Drosophila melanogaster: one gene and its partners. The protein of the gene in region 1 interacts with the protein of each later gene in a pairwise test. Each region holds a gene or a part of one and is shown in the gene's direction. Other genes may lie near its edges.

The links.
Region 2: the proteins of CG9631 (region 1) and Nufip interact in a two-hybrid assay, tested with the Drosophila melanogaster proteins (one large-scale study listed by BioGRID).
Region 3: the proteins of CG9631 (region 1) and CG2124 interact in a two-hybrid assay, tested with the Drosophila melanogaster proteins (one large-scale study listed by BioGRID).

Annotation. Positions count from the first base shown.
Region 1 is NT_033777.3:14,224,465-14,228,926, reverse strand, and holds CG9631 (uncharacterized protein), read left to right. Parts: upstream 1-2,164; 5' UTR 2,165-2,210; coding exon 2,211-2,417; intron 2,418-2,490; coding exon 2,491-2,662; intron 2,663-2,805; coding exon 2,806-3,746; 3' UTR 3,747-3,829; downstream 3,830-4,462. Other genes in the region: CG9624 (uncharacterized protein), read left to right, coding at 1-727.
Region 2 is NT_037436.4:18,746,111-18,750,204, reverse strand, and holds Nufip (nufip), read left to right. Parts: upstream 1-1,837; 5' UTR 1,838-1,896; coding exon 1,897-2,088; intron 2,089-2,148; coding exon 2,149-2,429; intron 2,430-2,486; coding exon 2,487-3,549; 3' UTR 3,550-3,594; downstream 3,595-4,094. Other genes in the region: Atg3 (Autophagy-related 3), read right to left, coding at 1-412, 467-657, 726-861, 1,316-1,387; MED11 (mediator complex subunit 11), read right to left, coding at 3,717-4,094.
Region 3 is NC_004354.4:10,593,948-10,599,813, forward strand, and holds CG2124 (uncharacterized protein), read left to right. Parts: upstream 1-2,174; 5' UTR 2,175-2,302; coding exon 2,303-4,102; intron 4,103-4,198; exon of another isoform or gene 4,199-4,368; coding exon 4,369-4,458; 3' UTR 4,459-4,695; coding exon of another isoform or gene 4,696-4,987; 3' UTR 4,988-5,222; downstream 5,223-5,866. Other genes in the region: Hmr (hybrid male rescue), read right to left, coding at 1-1,530, 1,597-1,645; CG1628 (uncharacterized protein), read right to left, coding at 4,696-4,987, 5,244-5,349.

The DNA of each region.
Region 1 (4,462 bases):
TTGGCATATCTATCTGTCCCAGGTGGGCTTTCCTTTCTACATGCCGCCACATGAGCTGCGCTGCTGCAAAGGAGCCCAAAGGGAGGAGATCGAGAACGAGGATGCTGAGAATGCCTTAAACCAGGAGGTGGAGGAGCGAACGGCGTCGAATCAGGTGGACTTTCTGCGCCATGGATCCCGGGACATTAGACCCATAGATGAGGTGGTAAACAAACTGAGGATGGAGCAGGAGCGTCGCCAGAAGTTGGCGTACGACTTTGCCAATCGGCGCTATCCTTGGACCATGCAAACTCCCAGTCACGAACTGGGCTTCACCATCACTGAGGAGCTGCAGAAGTGCTTCAAGGGACCCATGGAGCTGGACATCTTGAGGGCCATTCATGATCACGACTGCAAGCTAATGATTATCGATCTGGGCACTGATGTGGACATTAAGGACTGCCAGCGCTGGATAAAGTTTCGTCCATATATTCAGTTACTGGCATTGCCTCGAACACCTCGCATGGAACGATCGCTTCAGGTGCTCAATGTCTTCCACACGTATTTGGTGGAAGAATCGGCTGATAACTCATGGCACGATGAGGTGCAATACTCCCTTCGCACAGCTTTTGTGCACGCACAGAAAAATCAGCTCCTTAAGTCCTGCGGAGAGCCATTTGTCTTCGTATTTAGTCGTTTTCGTGGCATCTGCACCTGCGATACCTATAAGATAATCCGACGGGCATAGAACAAATTCTTTCAATTAATTTCCATCAGCAGTTATTAGCAAATGCCAACTGAAGTTGCTATAGACAAGTAATTATTTATTGCTTTTAAAAAAATTTCAAAATGTAAAAAAAATCTCAAGTTTACACAAGATTATATATATTACATGCAATAAATCGAATTTAAACATCATAACATCTGTTTTAGCCCAGTTTAATACTTATTCACGTCGCCTAATTTGATACGACTTGATTTGCTCCGCCCGGCCGTTCAAGCCATCATGTTGAAGTGGCGCCCGAACAGGAACCGCTTCAATTAGGCCGCCCAATTGGAGCTGCCTTCAAGTGCAGTCAGACGCACGCTACCTGCCACTTGCCACCCGATTATTGACGCAGGCGGAAGCCTGCACCACCATTTTCCGATGTGTTGTCAAAGTGCCTCCGCTAAGTTGGCAGACTTGAGCCCACGGCACAATTCACAACAAGTTTGTTTGCGAAAAAGAAACGAAATCGAAAAATTTCGCACCAAATCTCAACAAATTATTACAAAGCTTAACAAACTTGAAACTGATTATAAAAGTTGCCGGCAGGCAGTTGGGGCAAATTGGGGGACCGGCGGCCACAATGCAGCAAAATTGAGTTGCGGGTATCGTGAAGTTAGGAGCACTTCCCCTCATTCTCTACGGGCTTCCTTTTTGTTTTGTTGGAAAAAGTTTTTTTTGGCCAAATGCGTTGTCGCTATAAACGTCGACCCACAAACATAATTTTCAATAGAAATTCACATAAGCCACCTTGCCACGCCTGATAATAGCTTTGAGCAAAACTTACGCGATTTTTAAGAGGAGCCGCCACAGATCTTGAAAATGTAAAAAGTCAGTAGAAGTATAGAAAAATAAATTTAAAAAGTAATACTTTTCTTATCAGTTCGTAAATGTTTCTTATAGCATCAAAAACAAATTGCCCAAACAAATAAGATAAATTAAAGAGTACTTGTGCTTTAAAAGCCAATGCTAGCTGTTTAAATTTTAAATTGCTGTCAGGCGTAAACTAAGCCACAAAAAGTTGTGTTTTACAACAGTTCTCGATTGATACTGAACAGTTTTTTGCTATAAAAATTGAGCAAGATCAGAAAAAGAGAAGAAAATATTTCTTCAGTTAGCTACGAGCATATCATATATATACGAGTACATACAGTGGGTTTGTAAAACAAGTCACATGTTTACTTAGATGGGGATTTTTCTCTCAACAGTAGCTCCTCTGTTAAATAGTTCCGTGGAGAACCAGGTTCTTAAATAGCTGTTAGTTAGTTGAATGATTAAAAATAGTACTAAGCCGAAGACTTGATATGGCTGGGAATAACCAGTGATCACTCAATGGGGGTGCTCCGCAATCTGGCGAGAGATCAGCTGTTACATGGAGAGGGAGTGCATCGATAGTCGCTTGTGGATTCCGATTTCGATCCCAGTTCTCATTCAGTTCCATTCAGCATTGGTTGTTACCGTCGCAATGACAATCTTGTGGCTGACCTTGCTGGGCCTTTGTCTCAATCTGAAACTCGGGTCGGCGTTGCACGTGCCGCAGCATAATTGTGAGAGGTATTTCTCCTACTACAAAGAGGACAGTGGAGCCTACATTGGCGTCTTCACGGCGCCACGCGCTGGTGTGAACAGCCTATCATGGGAGGTGGTTTTCACTGCTCACGGAACTGGTGAGGTAAAGCCCTAACAAATTACATATATATTTGTTTATTTCAACTGATTCAACATTCTGATATCCCCCCATGCAGGCAAACACTGTGGGCTCACTCATTCCGTATCCCAATAAGGAAAGGGCCTTTGAAAAGATACACAGCGGAGAACGTGGCGAGGTGTTTGTGCGTTTCACGGATTTTGGAAACGAGCTGCCCAAACTTGTCCGGGCGGAATTCAACGGCGAGGTTCTGTGTCAAAATGAGGAGTGTGAGTAATAATAAAACTAGATAGAATATCTTTAGTTAAATTACTTTGAAATAATTATTGTTACCCTAAAGATATTCTATATAGTAGATGATCTCATATAGTTGATGATAATTTTCTCATATCTTTCTTTTTACTTTGTGCAGATGATGCCCCTTCAAGCACAATGACCCGACGCCAGTCCATGTCCACCTCAACGCCAATTAGTCAAAAGTCAGCACCAAGAGAAATAGTGCGTCAGCGGCGTCCGCCGCCGAGCACACCGAGCAATGACCCCAATCCTTTCCTTCCTTCAATCATGCCCAGAATAGATTCGGACTTTGAGGAATGCGGCGTTGAGGGCTTTTCGCCTCTTCAAATCGGAGGCGACCTGGTGACCCGCGGTCAGTACCCCTGGCTCGCGGCCCTTTACGAAGGTGTTGGCACGGCTACATACAAATGCGTGGTGTCGGTTATCTCCAAACGGACTGTGATCACGGCAGCTCACTGCATTTATGGAAAGAGCGCCAGCCAGCTTTGGGTCTATTTGGGCAGGCATGATCGCAACGAGAATCCTGAGAATGGAGCCTCCCTGGTTAGCGTGACCAGCGTGCTGACTCCGTCCGCCTACGAGGGCAATCCAGTTCCGGATGCGGACGTTGGTCTGCTGGTGCTGACCTCTCCGATGGTGTACACCAAGTACATTCGACCCCTCTGCCTTTGGGGCTCCAATATGGGATTGCCACCGAATGAGGGCGATACTGGAGCAGTAGCCGGTTGGGGCTACGACAGGAGTGCCCAGAAGACGCGGTTTCCCAAGACAGTGAGTGTTCGATTGGTGCCCCGGGATCAGTGTCTCAAGGAGATGAAGCGGGCGGAGGACTTCATCACGCGGCGGACCGTCTGTGCCGGCAATTCAGAATCACATGGTCCCTGCTTCGGAGACTCGGGATCTGCTCTGATCGTCCTGCGTAACAATCGATGGTACGTTCGTGGTGTGGTCTCTTTATCGCCTCGCCACGGAGAGATTTGCGACCTTAGCAAGTATGTTATCTATTGCGATGTTGCACGGCACATTGACTGGGTACGTCAAAATATGGTCATGTGAGGCGCTGAAATAATTATAATGTGACAATACAGGAAAACACGGAAATTTATGTACAAAATTCTCAATAAATCTTTAAGTCGTATAATAGATTACCTTTTCCTAGTCGGTGGATTTCCCAAGCATGCATTGGTGCCAACAATCTATTAAGTGTATACTTTGCGCTAAAATAAAACCCTTGCTTTAAGCCTATGACTTAAAGTGCAGATGTTTGCAATCATTGATTACAAATTTTCTAAAGAGAGGAATAGATTATTAGTGCTTTTGGAATTCGATTTAAACAAGTGAGAGCTCATCAGAGAGTAATAATAATAAGAACTATAAACAAATAAGGCTGTATGTCAGATCTCTTGTTAATAATACTTTTGACTCAAGAGCAAGAAAATCAGTTGTGAGCAACAGCAGGGTTTTGACTCACTAGCTTATCAGTAAAGATAAATGTAATTTTTAATTTCTTTAGTCGTATTAGCACCTTATCAATTAACACATTCGATCAGTGTTAGCCCATCCATGTTGAGAATAGTAATTCGATCTATGATCATAAGCTTAAAATTAAATTGATGATAATTTGTAAACTCTTTGTATTGAAGCTCTTGTTTTGTTTATACGAATTAGTCAAAGATTACTAGAGAGGGGATTTTCGCTCAAAACACAGAAGGCAGATGGCTTCTAGACATTTGATTACGAGGTACCAAGGGTATATCCACTTAAAAACAACG
Region 2 (4,094 bases), on another chromosome or scaffold:
GACCTGGAAGATGCGGATGGGACTCCATGGTGACAGTTTTCTTCGCGTGATCCTGCGAGACATCCTCGTACATCTGTTCCACGGTCAGTGGCTTGCGCTGCTCATCATAGCCCACCACCCAGAGTCGCGGCGTCTGATAGTACTTATCATAGCTGATGTGCAGGTCGTACGTGCGTGTATGGAGCACAGAGTCACCGCTGGCCTCCGCGTCGCCCGATGCGGCTGCCACTGGGCTGGCCTTTGCTTCCGGCTCCGGCTTGCGTGTCGTGGTGGCTACAGCCGGATCGACCAGCTCCAGCATGCCGCTCTCCTCGAAATCGTCCATGTCAATAGCCTCGTCGTCGTCCTCGTCTTCAGCCTGGCCCCCAGCGCCCGGCGCAGATTTGTCGCTATCTGGAGTGTGCATTTCTTCCTGAAATGCAGTACTTGATTATGATAGTCGTGGTAAAGTTTCACCCGCACTCACCTTTGTCTCCTCCATTGTCAGTTCGCAGATCTTGTCCTCCAGCTGGGTGGTGCCATCATCGTTCAGTTGATGAGTCTCCACCCAACCGCCGTCACCGGACTCCTCCTCCACCAGCGTCTCCTCGCCGACGTATTCCATCTGCTTGCAGCGACGATAGCAGGGAACATTGCGCGTTATCAGGAATTGCTTATCTAAGTGGGGGCGAAATGATTTTAATGAGTCAATTGGCTAGTTATTAGTGGAAAATCGCAGCACATACCCTTTGGTAGGTAGGGTTTTGTCTTGGTCTCATCGCCAGCGGCCCACTGCCAAGTTGGACAATGGTGCACCAGGTGATCACCGGCGGCCACGAATTCTTCCGGAGTGAGAACACCTGTCTCACGGAATTTCGATTCCTGCAAAAAAAAAATAACGATATTTGTACAACAATTCAAAACCAACAAAGTGGAAAGTTGTATCTAGAATTCTTAATTGATAAATAATTAGTATATATGTATATTAGTTCCATATCTTTAATCTTAACGCTAAAATGTAAGTATTTCCCATAAACCGTTACATTATTGTAGGCCGTTTTCTTAAAAGGACACAAAAATAGGCCGAGAATTCTGGGACGCCCCTTATTTTACGTTTGGAGACAGTCTGGCGTTGGATCCAGTTTTATAGCCTCCCGGGGGCCGTTAACACAAGTCTTGGAAAATGGGGAACGGGAAAATGGAATCAATATTAGAGCGAGGAAACCCCTTATCTTTGCGGGTTTTCTTTGTCATGATGCATATGTACACCCTCGTTTCATATGTACGTATTGAAATACACATTTGATCAGTTTTCCGTTTATTTGGCACTTTTTACCTTCAAAACGGGCGTCAGATATTCGGCCACATTGAGCGCTGTGCCCTTGACGGTGTTGAGAACACTCTGCATTTCGTTGGCCGCTGAGTATTCGCACTAATCTAAACGCTTAAACTTAATAAATACAATTAAGATGGCTCTCTCAATTGACTTGCACTTCGCAGCTAATTGTTTTTGTCTTGCCAGTCGCGATACCAACAACAGTGCGGTGCGGTCATACTAGTCTATCGATGTGGGTGGGACTATCGATAAGTTGTTGCAGGAACAACGGCACTTTTTGCAATGGATTGCCCAAATATAAAAACAACCTGTAATTTACATTGTTAAATACGGACTAATCTAATAAATTTTGTTAAGAAAAAATGTCTAAAATAAGTTCTAAATTTATTAAAAACCCGAATTTTAGCGAAGGTATTTTAAAATAGCACTTATTCATACTTTTAAATGATTTTAATAAAAATAAATCTTACCTTAAGAAAGACATTCCTTTTAAAATGTAGTACGCATGTTGGTATATTCGATAGCTTCGGTCACACTATGTCCATTCGCGCACATTGTTTCTAACGTTTGTACGCGACGAAATGGAAGAAAAGGTTCTGCCGAAATTCGTATTACCGTCTCCAAAGTTCGGCAAGCCCAATGGATCCACCACATCCAATCACCTCTACCTGACCCCCAGCGGGATGACCCTGCTGCCGCGCTCCAAGCAACCGCCGCCCATGTACGGTGCACGAGGATCAACAGTGCCAGCTAAATATCTGCACCAAGAACAAGTGAGTGCACCAATAATAGTTCGAGCTTGTTCTTTAAACATTCCTTAATTCAAAACATAGAGCAGCCCAGTGAGCGTGCCTGCATCCCCGCCAGTTTACCATTCTCCTCCGCGACCGGAATTTTGTCACACATGTGTAATGGAGCTGGCCAACTCTCAGGATATGAAACTCCACCTGGAGCAACACGAGTTCTGCCCTGCCGATGACTGCGACTTTGCGGCGCTCCACAACATCCTGGAACGTCACATAGAATCCAATCACATCACAGGAACCTACGTAAAGGTAAAGAAAGTTTGGTCCGAGGAAGAATTGGCCGCTTGGAGGGCAGAACGAAGAAAAAAGTAAGTTAATTAGTAGAAATTTCTTTTGTTCTTTAAAATAAGCAGCTCAAATTGTAGATTTCCCACTGCGGCCAATGTTGAGCTGGCTAGATTAGCCAAGGAACAGCGAATTAAACGCGGAGAGCGCCTGGAGGCTTCGAAATCTCGCTTCGGAAACCGGGAAGATCGCCAACGGACGCGAGGAGGACCCCAGGGAGATCACAAAGTTCGTTTCGATCCGAAAAACAAGAAAAAGAGATGTGCCAAAGGGAAAGCCAATGAAAAGAAGAAAAAACGTGTTGGTACTGATAAAGCAAACGAAGCTTTGAAGCAGAAAGAAACTAATGAAGATAAAAAAGAAGAGGAAGTTAATTTGTGCTCCCTGGGAAATGCTAAATTTGGAGGAACTGGACAAATGCCGGAGTACCAGCACTTTAAGGCAAAAGTTCAAAAGAAGGATAATGCTTTGTCTAGCTTTCTTGGAATGTACGGGTCAGATAGTGACGAAGAAAGTGAAGCTGAGAGTGATGATCAGAATACAGCAGACTGCAGTAAACAAATCCCAGCACAAGTAGAGAGCTCCCAAAGTATGCCATCTGAAATCACAGAAATGGGTCCAGCCCTTGAGGCTTCAAATACACCTAACTCTGTTGATAATACTCAAACTTGTGAAGACTTTACACCTATGTTGGAAATGACATCATCAGACCAAGTGCCGCGAGAAATAAGCAACATTAGTCAAATAACTACATCTAACTCAGAGCCTGCCAAGGAAGATGGCTCCTCCGACGAAGGACCGGATGAAGAGCCCTTCCAGCGAGTGACCGAAACTATAACAGCGTCAGATCCAGTCAAACCACCTCCTGAACCAATGGAACCGAAGCCACAAACTGCACCCAAAAGAGCAGCTCCAAAGCGAATTTATGGCTTGAACTACAAGAGAGCGCGCAAGCAAACCCCGAACACTATGTTGTCGAAACTATTAGAATCCGATATACGCCATGAAAGAAATGTCCTGCTGCAGTGCGTGCGACATGTTTGCGAGAGAAATTTCTTTGGCATTGGTCAAGCTAAACCAAATCAAGAAACGTTGGTTACCACTTGTGATAAAACCGTTGATTCAACACCGGATGCATTATAACTTTAGCTTCTAAGTTAGGCAAATAAAGTACAAATAGTAGTATGCAAATGTATTTCTTAAAAAGAGTGTCACTTATGTTTCGATTAACGCAATTGGTTGACAAAATGTGCCTTTTCGGAATGCACTCTAAAAAATTTAAAACCCTTACCCTTAAAGATAGCGCAAGATTAGTTGGTTGACATTGAGGAGTCTCCGCCCATGGGATGATCTCCGCTGCCGGCATTTCCTCCTCCGGTTTGTTGTTGCTGCTGTTGTGCCGCCTGTTGCATCTGTTGTTGTTGCTGCTGCTGCTGTTGTTGTTGCTGCTGCTGTTGCTGGGCGGCGGCATGTTCCTGCTGACGCTTCAACTGCTGACGAGCTGCATGTGAGTGTTTGGCCTTAGTTTCCTCAAGTTCACGCACTCTGGACCTAGCGTGCTGAATGCGATGCCAAGCCATTTGGAGCACTTTGGCGGATGCATAGCCGGAACCCTCGTGTGGCTGACCCGTGGACACCTGGGTCAAGTAGTTGATCTGCTCGGACAGCTTCGATTCCACGCTGGACAG
Region 3 (5,866 bases), on another chromosome or scaffold:
CCGAGCCCACACTGATGGCGGACGTGATTTTGGGAATCACAAACTTGGGAAGAGCTTGATCGGGCGATACACTCGAACTGACGCTGTTCGTTGCGGCGGCGGCGGTGGATGTGTTGTTAATGACTGGGCCAGAGGACCTCCTAACATTGGTGAAGGTGGGGCCAATGCTTGTGGCAGTGCTTGCACTGTTGGTCATGCTCGTGCTGCTGCCTTTTGAGGTGGACGGATAGACAATAGCCAATGGCATACGTACCGGCACCGGTGTTTTGGCCGGAGGCTCCCCCGCCACTGGTATGGCGCCGTTGGCTGTCCGCTTTAGTGCGGGACGGGCCGTGGAACGAGAGGTAACTGGCGTTAAGGCCAGACCCATGGAGCCCTCAAAGAACCACTTGTCCTGCAGCTGATAGCCGGATGAGCGCACGGCCTGCAATTCGTGGTAAAAGGCGCGCAGCACCAGCCAGGTGACCTCGCAGTGCTCGTGACTACACATCACTTCCATGCCGACCTTCTGCCAGAATTCGTCGTAGCGCGGCGGTTTCACCTTGTTGTGCAGGGAGTCCTCCGTCAGCTGAACTAGTTCTGGCATGTTGCGCATCGTGGTGATCAGCGCCATCACAGTGTGGAAATTCTCAATGGGCTCGTGCCAACCGTTTTGCAGGTACTTGGAAGACTTGCATACGGTGCCGCGCATGCGCTGTACGTGCGGTTCCATGAAGTCCATCAACCGACACAGCTCCGAAGTGCCGATATGACGTGGGCGATGGATTAACTCCCATTCGTAGCGAGTCTGCAGCTTTAGCCAGCACTTCATCAGCTTGGTGGCTTTGTCATGGACTTCGTTTGAAATGGCACTCCAGATTAGAAAGCGATGTCGTGTGTTCTGATAGCCCGTGCACGTGCTATCGTACAGAAGGGGATAGGCACTGACTGCCTCTATGAGGCGACGCTGTAACCTGTTGCAACGGTAGTTATAGGTGGGGTCCTCCTCGACATCCAAATCTATGATGTCCATTGGCGGATTCTCTATGACCTCCACATCGGGCCGGGTTTCGCTCTCATCCACATGCTCTTTTTCAAGAATCTCTGTCGGAATCTTGTCGACAATCAGTGGGAATCTGGCCACATGGGTATACATGAAGCGCATCTCTTCCTCGTATTCCATGCAAGGACGCCAACGCAGGGCCGCCCGATCTTTTTGGATGGCACTGCGATGAAAGTTTCTTAGACGACGAACATGGCGCTGATATTTATATCGCAGCGCCGACCAGGATCTCTTGCAGTTGGTCGCATTCGTTGCCAGGCGGCTGGCGATTTTTTTCCATTGTTTCTCCCTTTGAGCGACGTCGCGGAATTTCGGATGCCGGGCGTCATACAATAGCGGCTGGCGGCGTACCAAAGCGATGAGCAGCCTCTCTGCCCTATAGGTTTGCAGAATGCCGCCATCCCGAGATCCCGGATAAGTGCATCTGCTGAACGGATTTGGGGCCTTATCGTCATCCACGCCATTCGTCTTCTGACCAATTGTGTCAGCTTTGAGGAAAAAAAAAAACGGAAGTTAGTTGAACGGCTGACCAGGTGACCAACTGTCGGACTTACAAACAATTATCTGGCAATCATTTTCAATGGCAACAGGCTCCTCCTCCATGTCCTAGACACCTGATAGCTCCAATCTTGACCTACGCGCGCCTTTCCCCCACACAAGCCGTCGAGAATTCTCGGAACGGAGAAACCGGTGGGCAATCCGATGGAACCACTGCTTCACTCTTCACTCTTTTGTAGCATAAAATCACTCGGAAATAGTTTGGGAACAACTTGCAACTACAGGATTATTAAGTGCAAGCGTATCTACGTAAATATATCTACGTAAATAAGGTTTCTTGCGACGCCAGATAGTCGGCGGTTGCAAACGCAAAATGGTTAAAGAGCGTTATCGACCACGGATACCGTTATCGAAACATTCGATTAATATTTGAGTGTGAAATAGAATTGTATAGCTAAATATTTTTGTTTGTGTTAAGTTAAACAAAAATAAGTTGAAAAAACACGTTACAATTTGTAAAGCTACATTCTAGTAGCTACCCATTTGGATATCAGTGGAGTTATCGATAGCAGCCAAGCGCTGAGAGCAGAATATTTCGTTAAGTTCTCCCACTTGCGAGCACTCCAATTTCTTCGTTCTGGCAACGCTGCTTACCAGTCAGCTGTTTAGCCGGCAGGTTTTTCAACGAATGTTTTCATAACGCGTTTTCCATTCAAATTCAATTGAATTGAATTAATTTACAACCAAATATCGCTCTAAAACATGTGGGCAAGAACAAACTACCTCTGGCGAAGTGTGGGACGTCTGCGCCGCCAAGTATGCACGACGATCGTTTCACCAGCGCGAATATTTGCGGACCGAGAGAATCAGTTCGCCCATGGAATCCTGATGGATTCTCTCAAACCGTATGCAATACTGCGTCCTCGGGACTCCGCCTGGCAGGATTTGCCCGCATCTGAAGGCTTTATGCGGCCACAGCCAGATGCCAGTGCTGCCGATCTCTATGCGGACTTTTTAGGCCTGGTGAGGCACTGTAATCGCATGGAACTGAAGATCAGCGATAGCCGCTACGAAGCCTTTACCCGCTGCTTCTGTGAGCAGCTGCATCGCCTTACGGATGAACAACTTCTTGGATCGCTTAGTGCCTTGGCCGAGCTGCCCGTACCGGAATCGCCCAAAGCCAAGAACTACATGGAGATATGGAATACCCTGGACATCGAGTGCTGTCGCCGCATCGAGCGATGGTCCAGTGAACAATTGCTACTCGTGAGCGATGCCTGGTATCGTCTTGGTCTGGTCAGGATAGGCGAGTACGTGTGGCTGGCGCTGAAAAAGCTCGGCCGCAAGCTGCGAAAGCTGCCGCCAGAACAGCTCGTTCACTCCATGTTCCTGTGCAATCTACTGCGCCGACCCGTCTTCGAGATGTTCGATTTCGAGTTGAATCTGGCCCGCTGCGTGGATCAAATGACGCTGTCCGAATTGGGCGTAATGGCCATGGGCTTCTTTAAGACACAGACGCCTATCAGAAATCCGGAGCTGCTAACGCAACTCTATCAGCGATTAGGCAGCGAGCTGGACACCGTGGAAGACATTGTCCTGGTAGCGCTGCTCAAGGTGCTGCGGTACAGCAGCAAGCTGCCACAAGTGGAGCCGCTAAAGAAGATGTTAAGCGCTCTAGAGTCGCAAGTGGATCGCGTTTCCCTCCTCACGTGCCTGCACATGGCTCTTCTGGGCTGTGAACTGCAAACGTGCAATGATGCACTGGTGGAGCGCATACTGCTGAGATTCGAGCGTGAGTTAGAGACTGCCCGCCTCAAGGATATGGAGCGAATTTGTCTGGTAATGGCCCTTTTCAATATTACAACTAAGTCGGGAGTGGAACGCCGGTTGGCGGAGAGATTGCCCGATTTGCTGCGCCAGCGTATAGAGGAGATACTGCGCCATCCTCGTTGTTTCTCCAACTGCCTTCAGTTTCTCACAATGCGTGGTGTTTACGATCTTGAGCTTTTGGGCGTGGCACTGGAGCCGCGTTTCCTGAAGCATGCGTACCCAAGCGGATTGCCCGGGCGTGAGTACTTCCATTTGGATGGGTTCGCACGCCTCCTGGGGCCGGAATACCAGGGAGCACTGGTTACCGAGAAGCAACGACAGCAGATGGGCCGCAATTACACGCAGTACATCCCCGATCGGGACGGACGCTTCAAGCTGAATAATACCGATCGTATTCTAGTGGAAATACGGGATGCGATCACCATGATCCACCGTCCCGTGACCTTCAAGCACATCCTGCCGCAATACGATCGATGCGATGTAGTGTTGTGCTACGACCGCCGGCAACGGAAGGCGTTGTCCATAAATGGTGAGGCCTGTCAGGATTACAGCGGTGAGATTCTCACCCGGAAGCACTTACTGGGTGAGAGAAAGGCTGCGGATGACCAGCTGGTCACAGTGGTTATCGTTATTGCCGGCTGGAACAACGTAATCCGCGATAAGGATCGTTTCACCGGCCAAATGGATATGAAGCTAAGGCAGCTGCGGCAATTGGGACATCAGCCACTGGTGGTAAGTTTTGCTTTATCCTATGTAAGCTATATTAAAATGAAAACTTTCTCATCCTTCGAACAGTATGGTCAAGCATATGAAATTCTCTATCTCTTTCTATTTTAATTGAATTTACATCCTTTTTATTCACAAGCTCTCTCTCTCTCTTTCTCTTTTTATACGAAACGCACCTATTTAAATGTACCAATTGTGTATTTCTTCTTAGACTGCGGGTTGTATTATTATAATTATTTAATTGTCTAATCTTTTCCTGCTTTTTTCCACAGATCTATTGGCACGAGTGGCGGGAACTGGAGAACTCAGCTGACCGCCAGGACTTTCTGAAACGCCGCCTTAGCCAAATTGCAAAAATTTAGCAGGAAATAAAAACGGCAATAGAATTGATATTAGTCAGTCATTAGCATTATCTGAACATTGTACAGGCACAACACTACGATCTATTAATTATCTAGAAAAAAAAGCAATAATTATCGAATATTTAATAATGACCGCCCGCGGCCGACAACTACTAGCACAGCGTCTTGCTCCCGGATCCCCGCAATCGGACCGCAGCGGACCGTTCGTCGCGATCCATTGTATGGTTGATGCCGTCGTCAGAGGGTGGCGCTCAACGCTCGCTTGGTGTACTCGTAGACCACGAACAGGGTGGCCGTGGCTGGAATGGTGCGCAGGACAGATGGCAGCAGGCCGCGATAGAGTGCCAGGACACCTTCGCGACGGACTATGTCCGCTCCCACGGCGAACATGCTTTCGTTGAGGTTCTTCACCTGTATGCGACTCTTAATTACGTCTGCAGGAAACGTCGACGTCCAGAGGCAGACGCCTCCAATGGCGCCGGCGATCATCGTACGCAGTGGTCCAATATCATCTTTGGATTGATCATCCCTGCAAAGGAAAATAAGAATTATGCCAATGTAAATAACTATTTAACTTTGTCCAACATCTTTCATTTGAATAGACTAACGAAGATCGAGTTATCTGTCCAGCTAAGGATTTTGTTAAGATATTGTTGAACAAATTCTGTAAATGACTAAATATAACTATACTGCTAATTAGTATGATAACTGAAGAAGAACGATTGTTGTTCACTCGTAAACATTAAACTCATTAATCTCCTTCTATGGAATTTGTTTGTACTCACCTGCGGAGTAATTCACGGGTTCCCTCGTAGCTGCCGAAGAAAAAGAAATATCCGGGCATCTCGCGCAGGAAAGTCGAGCTCAATCCGCGATAGAAGCCTCTGATGCCTGCGGAGAAGAGATTAATCAACGGATTAGACCAATGGTAGCTAAGAAAATAGCGAAGATGGACACGTGAGGATGGGGCTATCAATTAAATTCGCATTGGAACATCAATCAAAGGCGAAACGGAAACGTGCTCATGATCTGCCGACTTGAGGCTGTCAATTGTGGGGCATCATTACATCGGTAAATTTCCACTTGACTGATAGTGGCCCAACCATGTGCATTGGCCGTAGCTGCACGTTCCGCTCCCTGTTTCCCGATGCTTTCCAGCTTGTAGTACTTGTAGTAGTACACCACCAGTATACCCTAGATGTGTACAGATCTATCTCGCACTACGTCACTGCTGTGCGTGGCATGTTTCGAGCTGCGGCTCTATGTGGCTATGAATAGTCTTATCAGTTTCCATAGAAATCCCTAATTCGCTTTTCGCAATCTGCGTAGTAAATACTCAATATTTATGTTTTGGAAAATAACGAGAGGAATGCCAGCCTTCCTCGTGCTCGATTAGATTGGATTGACT